3 linked regions of the Mus musculus genome follow. The protein of the gene in region 3 interacts with the protein of the main gene of each other region in a pairwise test. Links are inferred from orthologs where the notes say so. Each region holds a gene or a part of one and is shown on either strand. Other genes may lie near its edges.

Region 1 (3,746 bases), on a different chromosome or scaffold from region 3:
TAAGCTGGGCGTGGTGGCACGCACGCCTTTAATCCCGGTACTCGGGAGGCAGAGGCAGGCAGATTTCTGATTTCCAGACTGGTCTACAGAGTGAGTTCCAGGACAGCCGGGCCTATACAGAGAAACCCTGTCTGAAAAACCGTAAAAAAAAAAAGAAGAAAAGAAAATAGCCTAGATTCTATAGCCAGTCTACTTGGCGCAGCCTCCTGATTTATTTTTTGAGTGGTGTTAGGGATTGAATATGGCCTCCAGTCTGACAGTCTTTTCTGCTTATGGTTAACATTTTGTTTATTTTTACATTCCAGTGGTTAGCATACTGACAACCCTGTAGACTCTAAGTCTGTGTGTTTGTGTCCCCCACAGTTTAACGGCAGTGTTCTTAGCCCTGGGTTCTCACTAGGCTGTGACTGCTCCTTCTTTTCTTGTAGCTGTCATGGAAATGATGAGCCAGAAGATTCAGCAGCTCACAGCCCTGGGGGCAGCGCAGGCCACGGTCAAAGCCTGAGAGTGCACTGCAGAAATGAAGCAGAGTGAGGGACCCTTCTTCAAGGGGCCTGGGACTTTTTCCGGCAATGGCCTCCTGGGAAAGTGGCCTGGGAAGAGAGTGTTTTGTGTTTAATGTTAATAAATGTGACCGCTGCGCAAATGGGGTGGTCTATTCTTGCATTAAACAAGGGCCTGGTGCTGAACTGGGAGTGCCCAGGAGGTGTACTTTTGCCAAGAGCCCCCTAGCCACACGGCCTTATAGAGGTTCCAACCAGAGGTTTGGGGACCTGTAAAAAGGTTTTGCGCTAAGTAGTGCACAGTGTTGTTGCCATGGGGACGGATGGCGGGCGGAAGTGAAGCTGTGCCTGACACTTCCTCTTCCGGGTCGACCTTCCCTTGGAGGGAACTATATGGGTAGACGTTTCCTGCGTGGTATCTTAACATTGCCGCTCCGGTCAGTTCTCCAAGCCCAGCACCGCATGCTTGGCTCAGAGCAGGATCCGCCCGCTAAAAGACCTCGCAACAACCTCATGGCACCGCCCCGAATCGGGACGCACAACGGCACCTTCCACTGCGATGAAGCTCTGGCTTGCGCGTTGCTCCGCCTCCTGCCCGAGTACGCGGTACGGACCTGCGAACCTAACCCGGTCCCCTCTGATGCTGCAATGGCCTGAGAACCGCCTTCCCCGAGACGCACGCCCTGGAAACCCAACTTTAATCCTGACTCCTACCTGACAGCCCCTTCCTCTGTGCCTGCAGAACGCAGAGATTGTGCGGACTCGGGATCCTGAAAAGTTGGCTTCGTGTGACATCGTGGTGGATGTGGGCGGTGAGTACAACCCCCAGAGTCACCGTTATGATCATCACCAGAGGTGAGTTCACACTCGCTGCCTGTTCTCTTGACTTTCTTGATTTAGCTTTAGTGCTCCAATCCCACCACCCACTGCCCAAGTTCATGACAGCAAAGACCACTGCCTCCTCATCGTTGAAGTCAAGCAATTTATCGCTCTGGGAATTAAAGCTCGCTTCGAGCCTGCTCCTTGGCCTGGAACCTCCCTCAGGTCCCTCCCGCCATAACTTTTTTTCACACTGGCAGTTTTCCATTCACTTGTCCTTGCCACAAGCTGCTGGATCCTTCTAGTTCAAGGATAATCTACTGAGGTGGCCTTTTGCTTTGTTTTTATTCTACTTTAAGAGTAGGGGTGTCTTGTCTGCATTCATGTCTGTACATCAAATGCATTGGTGTCCAAGGAGGACGGAAAAAAGGTATCAGGATCCCCTGGAATTGGAGTTAAAGAAGTCATGAGACACCGCGTGGATGCAGGGAATTGAACCTGCCTCCTCTGCAAGAGCAGCCAGCTCTTTTAGCCATCTCCAGCCCCATGATGGTTAGTTATCAGTTTGATAAAATTTCGATTCTAGAATCACCTGGGAATCGGTCCGTTGAGGGGGTATCCAGATGGGGTTGGCCGTGTTTGTAGGGTGTCTTTGATTGCCCTGTAAGGCCCTGCCCACTGTGGGAGGCACTAATCCCTGGGCTGTGTGAGCGAAGGAAGATGGCCAAGCACTAGCAGCCTGCATGCACTTGTCTCTCTGCTCTTGTCTGGGTGAGATGTGACTCCCCATTCTAAGTTTCTCCCACCTTCCCCTCTGTGATGGGATGTTGTGATGTTGTGAGCTAAAATAAACATTTTTTGCCTCTGAAGTTGATTTTTGTCAGGTGTCTCATCACAGCAGCAGACATGGAAATGGGCTGTTACATGTTATATATTCCCAGTACCACTGCACTGTCCTCCCTCACCTCAGACACATAACCAGGCTCTGGTGCATGTCCCCACCTTTGCTGAAAGATAAGCGCTTCTTGTATATGTTTCTTCACTTTTCCTACGTCCAAAATCTCACAATTCCACTTTCCAATTTAGGAAAATTGGTTCCCTTCTGTTGTTTGTTTTGTTTTGTTTTGAGACATGCCTTTCTCTATCGCACTGGCTGTCTTGGAACTGCCTCTGTAGTCCAGGCTGGCCTCAGTCTCACAGAGATACGGCTGCCTTTGCCTCCTGAGTGCTGGAATTAAAGGTGTGTGCCACCACGCCTGGCATCTTTTTGTTCTTTTTAAAGTGGATACGTGAGTAAATATCATCTGTGTGGGATGTGAATAGCCTTTTCTTGTCCTCTAAAGTAACAGCTACTTGCCTAACATCTGCAACCTGTTAGGCATTATAAGTAATTTAGAGATGATCTAAAAGATACAAGAGGAGGAGCAAGGTGCATGGTGTACACCTGTAACTCCAGTACTTCCTGAGTAGAGGCTGGAGGGTCATGAGTTCAAGGTCATCATCTGTTTGTTAGCAAGTTTGAGCCTAGCCTGGATCACATAAAACCCATTCCCATCAAGGAAAAAGAATGTAGCCCCGTATGATAGTCTGCACCTTTAATCCCAGGCGGTGAGAGCCAAAGCAGGGAATGATTTCCAGGACAACACAGAGAAACTCTGTCTCCAAAAACAGGAGGATGTGTGTCCTTTACAGGCAAACACTGTCCCATTTTACATAAAGAACTTGACATCTGGAGGTCAGGCCCTTAGGAACCACAGACAGTGACAGTTAGGGACAGTTGCTCTGTTGTTTGTCCCCCTCCCACAGATGAACTTTAAAGGACAGGATCTTTGATTTTTCTCCATAATGTTCAAAACACAAAACTCAACATACAATGATGAGTCAAACCGCTGTATGGGAATGTCGGAGTAGAAGCTCTCAGCCAAGGCCTGTGTTGGCACCAGAGGACACGCTAACATCTTCTCAAGTGGTTTCTCGTCTCCCCATCCCACTGATAACCAACTCCTTCACCTCAGCCCCTCCCTATGCTCCTCAGGACTTTTACAGAAACCATGAGTTCACTGTGCCCTGGAAAGCCATGGCAGACCAAGCTGAGCAGTGCGGGACTTGTCTATTTGCACTTCGGACGTAAGCTCCTGGCCCAGTTGCTGGGCACTAGTGAAGAGGACAGCGTGGTGGATACCATCTATGACAAGGTAGGGGCCCGAGGACAGAGAGGTCCCATCTGTGCCTTCCCGCTGGGCTGGCTAGCAATGGCACAGCTACAGTCCTGAACTAGGTCAGTCACTGGCCTATAGGGGACAGTCCTAGTCACTGTCCTATTGCTGAGAAGAGAAACTATGACCATAGCAGCTCTTACAAAAGAAAGCATTTAACTGGGGCTGGCTCATGGTTTCAGAGGTTTAAAACATCTGCTTTCACATA
Region 2 (3,746 bases), about 8.4 Mb from region 3:
AGGGGGCTGGAGAGATGGCTCTGTGGTTTAGAGCACTGACTGCTCTCCCAAAGGTCCTGAGTTCAAATCCCAGCAACCACATGGTGGCTCACAACCATCCGTAATGAGATCTGATGTCCTCTTCTGGTGTGTCTGAAGACAGCTACAGTGTACTTACATAGAATAAATAAATCTTAAAAAAAAACAAAAACAAAAACCACTTATTCATTAGGGAACAAACATTTGCTGGGTATACAAAAGATTCAACTAACAGTAAAAAAAAAACTTCCTTTAATCCCAGCACTGAGACAGGAGATTTCTCTAGAGCTGGAAGACCAGCCTGGTCTACATAGGCCAGCCAAGGAGACCCTGTCTCGGAAGGTAGTGGGGAAGAAGGAAGAAAAAGGAAAGAAAACTGCTTGTCAAGCGTCCAAAGGACTATTGGGGGAGGAGGGTTTGACTTCAAAATGTTAGAAAGCACAGGATCCCTGCAAGAGATATGGGGGCAGTTATTTAATGGCCAAGGACTGGAACTCCCGGGACTCCATCCCTGACTCTCGTTAATTTTGCCTCTTACAGGCTGGGAGATCTTCTCTCTGGACCGAACCCAGGCGAAGCTAAAGCCTGTCACAAACTGACCCAAGCCCGCTGCCCTGGAAACCACAACACCCATAAGCCTTCGGGGGCGCTCGTGCATTATGGGGCGCTCCGCATTTTCCTCCTAAAGCGGCCCCCTCAGGCTGAACTGTGGAAATTCCCCATCGTCCCCCGCGAGACACCAGAAACCCCCTCTTCCGCTCCATGCCCGGATATCAGTGGCCGTGGCCATAGAAACTGTCTGCTAGAGGCTCCTAAACTCGCTGTCCGGACCCTCATTTCCGCCGGAAGTGATCTGCAGTCCCAAGTGCCCGTCCTTCCCTGCACGCGCGGGCCCCGGGTGCCTAGTTCCCGGTCCCGGTCACCGAGTACTACCACAATGGCGGCAGCCACTCTATTGCGAGCGACGCCCCGCTTCAGCGGTGAGGGGGCGGGTTGGACGCAGGCAGCCCGGAGTTGCGAGGGGCGCGGAGGGTAGCTGGGTTCGGATCCCTGACTCCCAAGTGCCTTTCCCCGCAGGTCTCTGCGCCAGCCCGACCCCATTTCTGCAAGGTCGGCTGCGGCCGCTGAAGGCTCCCGCATCACCCTTCTTGTGTCGCGGCCTAGCTGTGGAGGCCAAGAAGACTTATGTACGCGACAAGCCCCATGTGAATGTGGGTACCATCGGACATGTGGACCATGGCAAGACCACCCTGACTGCAGCCATCACGAAAAGTGAGTAGGGTTGGGTTGGGTTGGAGGCGTCGGGCAATGTCCTGTCAGCTGGAAGAGTCAGAACTAGAGCGTAGGGTGGGTGTCTTGTAGTCCGCTGAACTTTAGCATGGCTCCAAGAGACACTTGGGACGAAGGCTGGTGGGAAGATGCAGGAGACAGGTTTCCCTGTACAGGAAGAGCTCTGTGAGGCATAAAATGAAAACTGTGAATGGTTTCCATCCAGTGTAGAGTGGTCTGTAAAGAGATGCTGTCAGCGAAGAATTGGAAGCGTCTGTGATGAGCACACACCTTAGGAAATTCTCTCACTGTCTTACAAAGTTATCTTTCCTAGAATTACATTTGAGATTTCCTAGAATTGAGATTTAACAGAGATTTATCCTTCCAGATTGTTTCTGTATGAGGGGTTCAGGCGTGTGCCCCGAGCCTTGTCTGTAGCTCTGACCCTGAGTTGAGAGGTGTGTTCTCTTCCTCCGGTAGTTCTAGCCGAGGGAGGTGGAGCTAAGTTCAAGAAGTACGAGGAGATAGACAATGCCCCAGAGGAGCGAGCTCGGGGCATCACCATCAATGCAGCCCATGTGGAGTATAGCACTGCTGCCCGACACTATGCCCACACAGACTGTCCTGGTCATGCAGATTATGTTAAGGTGAGGGTTGCTGGGGACAGCCAGCACCTGCTTCCGTTCAGTGGAGGTGTGAGGGGGGGAGGTTATAAAATAGTGGCGGTGTTTGAATATAAGAACAAGGATTTGTGGCTGTGGGTGGTGAAGACATGGCAGAGAGATGGAGATCTTCACAGCTACTTCTCATTAGAGGATGCATGTTGAAGAGGTCCCTGAACTAAGCTGACCTTCTTCCTCTTCCACCCAGAATATGATCACAGGCACTGCCCCCCTGGATGGCTGTATCCTGGTGGTGGCAGCTAATGATGGCCCCATGCCCCAGACCCGAGAGCACTTACTGCTAGCTAAACAGGTACTGGGGTCTGAGTGGGATGGACATCCGTGAGACGTCAGATGGCTCAGGAGAGTTGCTCAGTCTCTTGTCTTGCCTGCAGATTGGGGTAGAACATGTTGTGGTGTACGTGAACAAGGCAGACGCTGTCCAGGACTCAGAGATGGTGGAGTTAGTCGAGCTGGAGATCCGGGAGCTGCTCACCGAGTTTGGCTATAAAGGAGAGGAAACTCCAGTCATCGTAGGCTCGGCTCTCTGTGCCCTTGAGGTGAGCACAGCACAGGCTCCTGTTGGTAGAGGACGGGGTAGAGCTTTGCTCTGTACCTGGAAACTTAGCATCCTGTGATAGGAACAGAAGTTTCAAGGTCTTGTCATGTCTCCAACAGCAACGTGACCCTGAGCTAGGCGTGAAGTCAGTGCAGAAGCTCCTGGATGCTGTGGACACCTACATCCCAGTGCCCACCCGGGACCTGGACAAGCCCTTCCTGCTCCCTGTAGAGTCAGTCTACTCTATTCCTGGTGAGGCCCGTGCTCACGTACACCACTCCTCATAGGGGTCATCTGACCCTGGGTGACCAATAACCCATCCTGTTTCTTTCCAGGCCGGGGCACAGTGGTGACAGGTACATTAGAGCGTGGCATTTTGAAGAAAGGAGATGAGTGTGAGTTGCTGGGACATAACAAGAACATCCGCACTGTGGTGACAGGTATGAGAAGATTTCAGATCCAAGGACGTGGTCAGAATGGTCCCTTCCCATGTAGCTCTTATACCTTCATTCTGCCTCAGACCCTCTTCTCTCCTGTCTTCTTCCTTGTAGGCATTGAGATGTTCCACAAGAGCCTGGAGAGGGCTGAGGCAGGGGATAACCTGGGTGCTCTGGTCCGAGGCTTAAAGCGCGAAGATTTGAGGCGTGGCTTGGTCATGGTCAAGCCAGGCTCCATCCAACCCCACCAGAAGGTGGAGGCCCAGGTGAGGGCTCCAGTGCTGAGTGGTTTCCCTTGCTTAGAAGCAGGACTTGTAGCTAAGCCATTCCATCCTTACTGCTTCTCTCCTCTAGGTTTATATCCTCAGCAAGGAGGAAGGTGGCCGCCACAAACCCTTTGTATCTCATTTCATGCCCGTCATGTTCTCCCTGACCTGGGACATGGCCTGTCGAGTCATCTTGCCTCCAGGGAAGGTATGTTGAGGCTGGGGGGGATATAAAAGGAATAGAACTGGGCTGTGGTAGCCCATGACTTTAATCTTAGCAGCTGGAAGGCAGAGGCATGTGAATCTCTTGAGTTCAAGGCTGGTGTAGTTAGTATACAGAGCTAGTTCCAGGGCAGTTAGGGGTACACAGCGAAATCCTGTCTCAAACACAAGAAGGGCTCAGGAAAATCCTGTTGACTAAAACTGCGTAATACCAAATTCCCGATTATGGTCCCTTTACTTTTTCCATGCTGTTTGCGTGTGCCTAGCAACTAAATGAAACGTCCCAGATTCTTCAACCTGTTGAGCTTTCCCA
Region 3 (3,746 bases):
AAAAAATTTCTTAAAAAATGTTTTACTCCCTTTTGAACAGCGAGTTAATTATTTCAGTAGGAAAGTTCTTAGATAAGAATCGACACCTTCAATCCCAGGGGAGGCAAGGATAGGTGGAATTTCTAGGCGAATCTGGTTTATAAAGCAAGTTTCAGGACAGCCAGGATTACACAGAAAATGCATGAAGCTTAATTTTAGCAATATTTAAAACAAAACTGCAGAGCCTTAATTGTGAGTGAAAGCTCTGAAAGAAGAAGAGTATTTGCAAAGATCTTCTTCATTTGCAGTGCCAAAGTTCTGAGGAAGATTTGTGTTACGAGCTTCATCTTCTGACACATTTCAAAAGGTCACTTTGTGGTAGAAAAAGAGGTGTTTGTAACCTCTGAGCCATTTGGAAGGTTAGTGAGAGCTGGATTGGGACCTGGGACTGGCCTAAACTTAAATTTTACTTTGGGAACACCGACTAAACTAAGCTTTCTGGGGCAGTAGCCAAGTTGCCAAGGAAAAACTTATTACTCTGCCCTCTCTTAGCAAAGTGACTGCTCCTGGTACCACCAAGATGGGCACCTCATTGCTTGGTAGCAGCTGTTTGGGTCCTTTTGTTCTCAATACTGAGGAGAAGGAGGGAATTCCAGGCTTTACAATTTTTGACATGATTTCTGTATCAACCGAAGTCATAATATCCCCCCCCCGCCCCGCCCACACACAATGAGCGTCCTTCCTGGTCAAAACTGTTGTCTGTACCTTCTAGTACTTTCCACAAGTTCTATGACAAATTGTATGCCCCTTTGACAGAGCCACCATAGGCCAGGAAGGGACCAGGCATATTTAGGAGCACTATGTGATCTCTCACATTTCTCTTTAACCTCCAAGGCCTTTAAAGAACCTGGGAATTAAGGAACGAAGTGTTTTTAAAAATAATTTAAAATTAGTTGAAGGTCGTATTTAGCCTGGCTTCCCCATACATCCATTAATCTATCAGTCTGAAGCCCTCCAACATCCGAATTGCTCCTCTACTCATCCATCCCTCCGAATGAAGCGCTCCCCTAGCTACCTGAAGTACTCATAGATTATCAAGTGAAGCACCCCGCAAATGATTCCCCCAAAAACTGGCTGCAAATGAAGCCCTTTAAGAGTTTGTGCATCTTCCATGTTCTCCAAAGGCCAGAGCTGGGGAGAAGGCACAGACAGCGCTCACTTGGGGCAGCCAATACTTCAGTCAGCAGGTGCCACAGCAACCTAAAGCGTCCTTGCCCTTCCAGCCTCCGCATAGGATGCCATTGCGCATCCCCTGCGCAGCTGAGCGGACAGGCGCCTGAGCGGTTTTGATTTCCAGCAGAAGAGCTAGGGACTAGAGAGGCCCCAGGATTTAGGAAGATCTGGGTGAGAGACTAGGTACGGCGGTTGAACCGCTTCCTTCCGCTCCGCCTCTCGAGGGCCACACCCCTGCACTCTGATTGGTCAGAGTCTTTCAGTTTCGCTCTCCTTTGACCTGGATTTCAAGTCATGCGCTAGCTGCCGGTTGGCCCGACTTCCCAGAAGCCGGAGTGCGGTCTACCCAATGAGGAGCGAGTTTCGCGAGGGCTGTCGGGAAAGGCAGCTAGCCTATATAAGCAGACTGCGGGGCGTTCCCCCGCGCTCGGGTTGCCTTGCTGGTGTTGGGGGGATAGTGTGTGTTCGCTCGTTGATAACCGCGAGTCTGGAACGATGGCGGAGGGGGATAACCGCAGCAGCAACCTGCTGGTGAGTTGCGGTGGTCAGTCTGTCCCCGGAGTTTCCGGATGGGCCTCCTGGCCTCGGTGGACTACCAGGGACAGCCAGGCCTTATCTCCACGGTGGAGGTCGCTGCTGGCGATCCCCAACGTCCCCCGGAATCCTGCACCATAAGGCTTGGGCCGTGCGTGAGGAAGTGTGAGAAGGGGGCTGTGGCAAGAAGGAACCTGGGTAACAGGTTGGGGCACTCGGCCGCCAGGGGCCTTGTCTAGCGCTCCGGCTCAGGCCGGAGACCTACCTGTTTTGCCCTTTGATCTTAATCTCATGTTCCGTAGATTATTTTTAATCATGATTCTTTTTCTCCTAAAACTTGGCGCAAGGGTGGAGGGTCAAAGGGCTGCTACAGAGAATTAGTTTATCGCTGACACAGAATTTGTTGGAGCTGGCTGGTTGGAGTTCACCGCAGGAAGCTGAAAACGGGTTCTGCGGAAAGGACAGTGGGGGATCCTGGCACTTGTCTGGGAACTGGCGAGGGACTCACGGGACTGGATGCAACTTTAAAAATGATTTAGCACGGATTTGACGGAGCTACACGAGATGATGGTATTAGAAGAGGGCGCGTTTGCTTCATTACAGGTCTTTGTTTTTGGTTAGGTCTTTGTTTTTGGTTTTTAAGGCTAGGTTTTCGTGTAGCTTGACGAGGCTAGCCTTGTATTTGTCATCCTCCTGTGCTGGGATTACAGTTGCGCATCACCAGGCCCTGCTAGTTTCAAATTTTTAACTGCATCACCCACCTAGGCAAGAACGAAAGATCTTTTTTTTTTTTTTTCTGTATTGTCATTCCCCAGAAAAGGCAGGCCATATCAGAAATGAAAAAAGCAATCAGCTTTTAATGCCTGCCTTTTTAACTGCTAAGTGCCGACAAGATTCTTCGGGACAGTTTTGATTAGTGCAAGATTTTCAGTTTGTATTTGTGTTTAGAGGTGCATTCCCTGTATCCTTAAATTCCCTACACACACACACACACACACACACACACACACAGTACCATACAATAGAGATGCTTACCCTGTACCCTTAAACTCCTCCTACACAATACCAGCAAACAATTCAATAAGAGGATTAATTGCTGTACAAGGAAACTATCATGGGAGAGGGCCTGATCACTACTATTTCCATCATTTTAAGGAGAGCAAGTCCATTAGTCTTGGATTTCCTGGATTTAAATATATTAACCCCTTTATGTCTCAGTCGCCTTATCTTAAAGTAGAGGTTGTGAGAATACCTTTTCCAGTTTTTTTGGAGCGTCAATTGAAGTATAACATGTAAAATGTTTAGGATTTCTAGTATGGGGAGATGTCAAAAGTACTTAGTCACATATCTCATCTTTATTAAAATTAGCCTGAACTGTTCTATATTTGCATATTCCTTTGTGAAGAGTTGATAGTGTCAGTTGGGCATTGTGTGTATGTAGTTCCTGGATGTTGAATCCAGAGTTCTGCACAAACAGGTTCTAAATACCTTCCGTTACCAAAGTCCCTGATAGGTTCAGGTCACAGTAGCCCATGGTAAAGGTGTGCTTTTGGCTAGTTGTCACATATGCAGAAAAATTTTGAGATTTAATTGAAATTCTATCATTAATGATGAGGAGCCATTAAGTGCTGAGCTCACATAGTTTGGTTGAAAGAGTTTTCTTTAATTCCACAGTGACTGCCAACATCAGAGTCATTCCATTATACAAAGCTATTTTAGAGATTTATGTACTTAGTGTTAAGGGAAAGGTTCTCCTGATGGATTTAGAAGGACTTCAATCAATAAAACGGCCAATCGACAGATCAATGCCAACCACCTGAAATGGGCAAACAGAATATTCAATCTAGTAATATTCTGAGCACTGCCTCTTGGCTCTGTGGCTGCATTTGGGGATATTAGTTTCCCATATTAAGCTCACTTTCATGAATATTGAAATAAATTGTGAAATCTTGGGAATATTATTATACATCATGGACATATGGCCCAGTGCTAAAATGACC

Evidence for each region.
Region 1: the proteins of Arl6ip1 (region 3) and Myg1 interact in binary tests that used the Homo sapiens proteins (3 or more experiments, as listed by UniProt). The two-hybrid records come from large-scale screens. The link is inferred for Mus musculus from reciprocal best matches to the Homo sapiens genes ARL6IP1 and MYG1.
Region 2: the proteins of Arl6ip1 (region 3) and Tufm interact in binary tests that used the Homo sapiens proteins (3 or more experiments, as listed by UniProt). The two-hybrid records come from large-scale screens. The link is inferred for Mus musculus from reciprocal best matches to the Homo sapiens genes ARL6IP1 and TUFM.

What each region holds. Positions count from the first base shown.
Region 1 is NC_000081.6:102,330,845-102,334,590, forward strand, and holds the start of Myg1 (MYG1 exonuclease precursor), read left to right. Parts: upstream 1-864; 5' UTR 865-896; coding exon 897-1,109; intron 1,110-1,245; coding exon 1,246-1,358; intron 1,359-1,681; exon of another isoform or gene 1,682-1,874; intron 1,875-3,357; coding exon 3,358-3,517; intron 3,518-3,746. Other genes in the region: Pfdn5 (prefoldin subunit 5), read left to right, coding at 429-505. UniProt on the Homo sapiens protein: 3'-5' RNA exonuclease which cleaves in situ on specific transcripts in both nucleus and mitochondrion. Involved in regulating spatially segregated organellar RNA processing, acts as a coordinator of nucleo-mitochondrial crosstalk.
Region 2 is NC_000073.6:126,486,493-126,490,238, forward strand, and holds the start of Tufm (elongation factor Tu, mitochondrial), read left to right. Parts: upstream 1-862; 5' UTR 863-955; coding exon 956-998; intron 999-1,095; coding exon 1,096-1,290; intron 1,291-1,767; coding exon 1,768-1,934; intron 1,935-2,157; coding exon 2,158-2,262; intron 2,263-2,344; coding exon 2,345-2,509; intron 2,510-2,627; coding exon 2,628-2,760; intron 2,761-2,843; coding exon 2,844-2,948; intron 2,949-3,059; coding exon 3,060-3,211; coding exon of another isoform or gene 3,212-3,299; coding exon 3,300-3,419; intron 3,420-3,746. UniProt on the Homo sapiens protein: GTP hydrolase that promotes the GTP-dependent binding of aminoacyl-tRNA to the A-site of ribosomes during protein biosynthesis. Also plays a role in the regulation of autophagy and innate immunity.
Region 3 is NC_000073.6:118,127,466-118,131,211, reverse strand, and holds the start of Arl6ip1 (ADP-ribosylation factor-like protein 6-interacting protein 1), read left to right. Parts: upstream 1-1,586; 5' UTR 1,587-1,707; coding exon 1,708-1,743; intron 1,744-3,746. UniProt on the Homo sapiens protein: Positively regulates SLC1A1/EAAC1-mediated glutamate transport by increasing its affinity for glutamate in a PKC activity-dependent manner.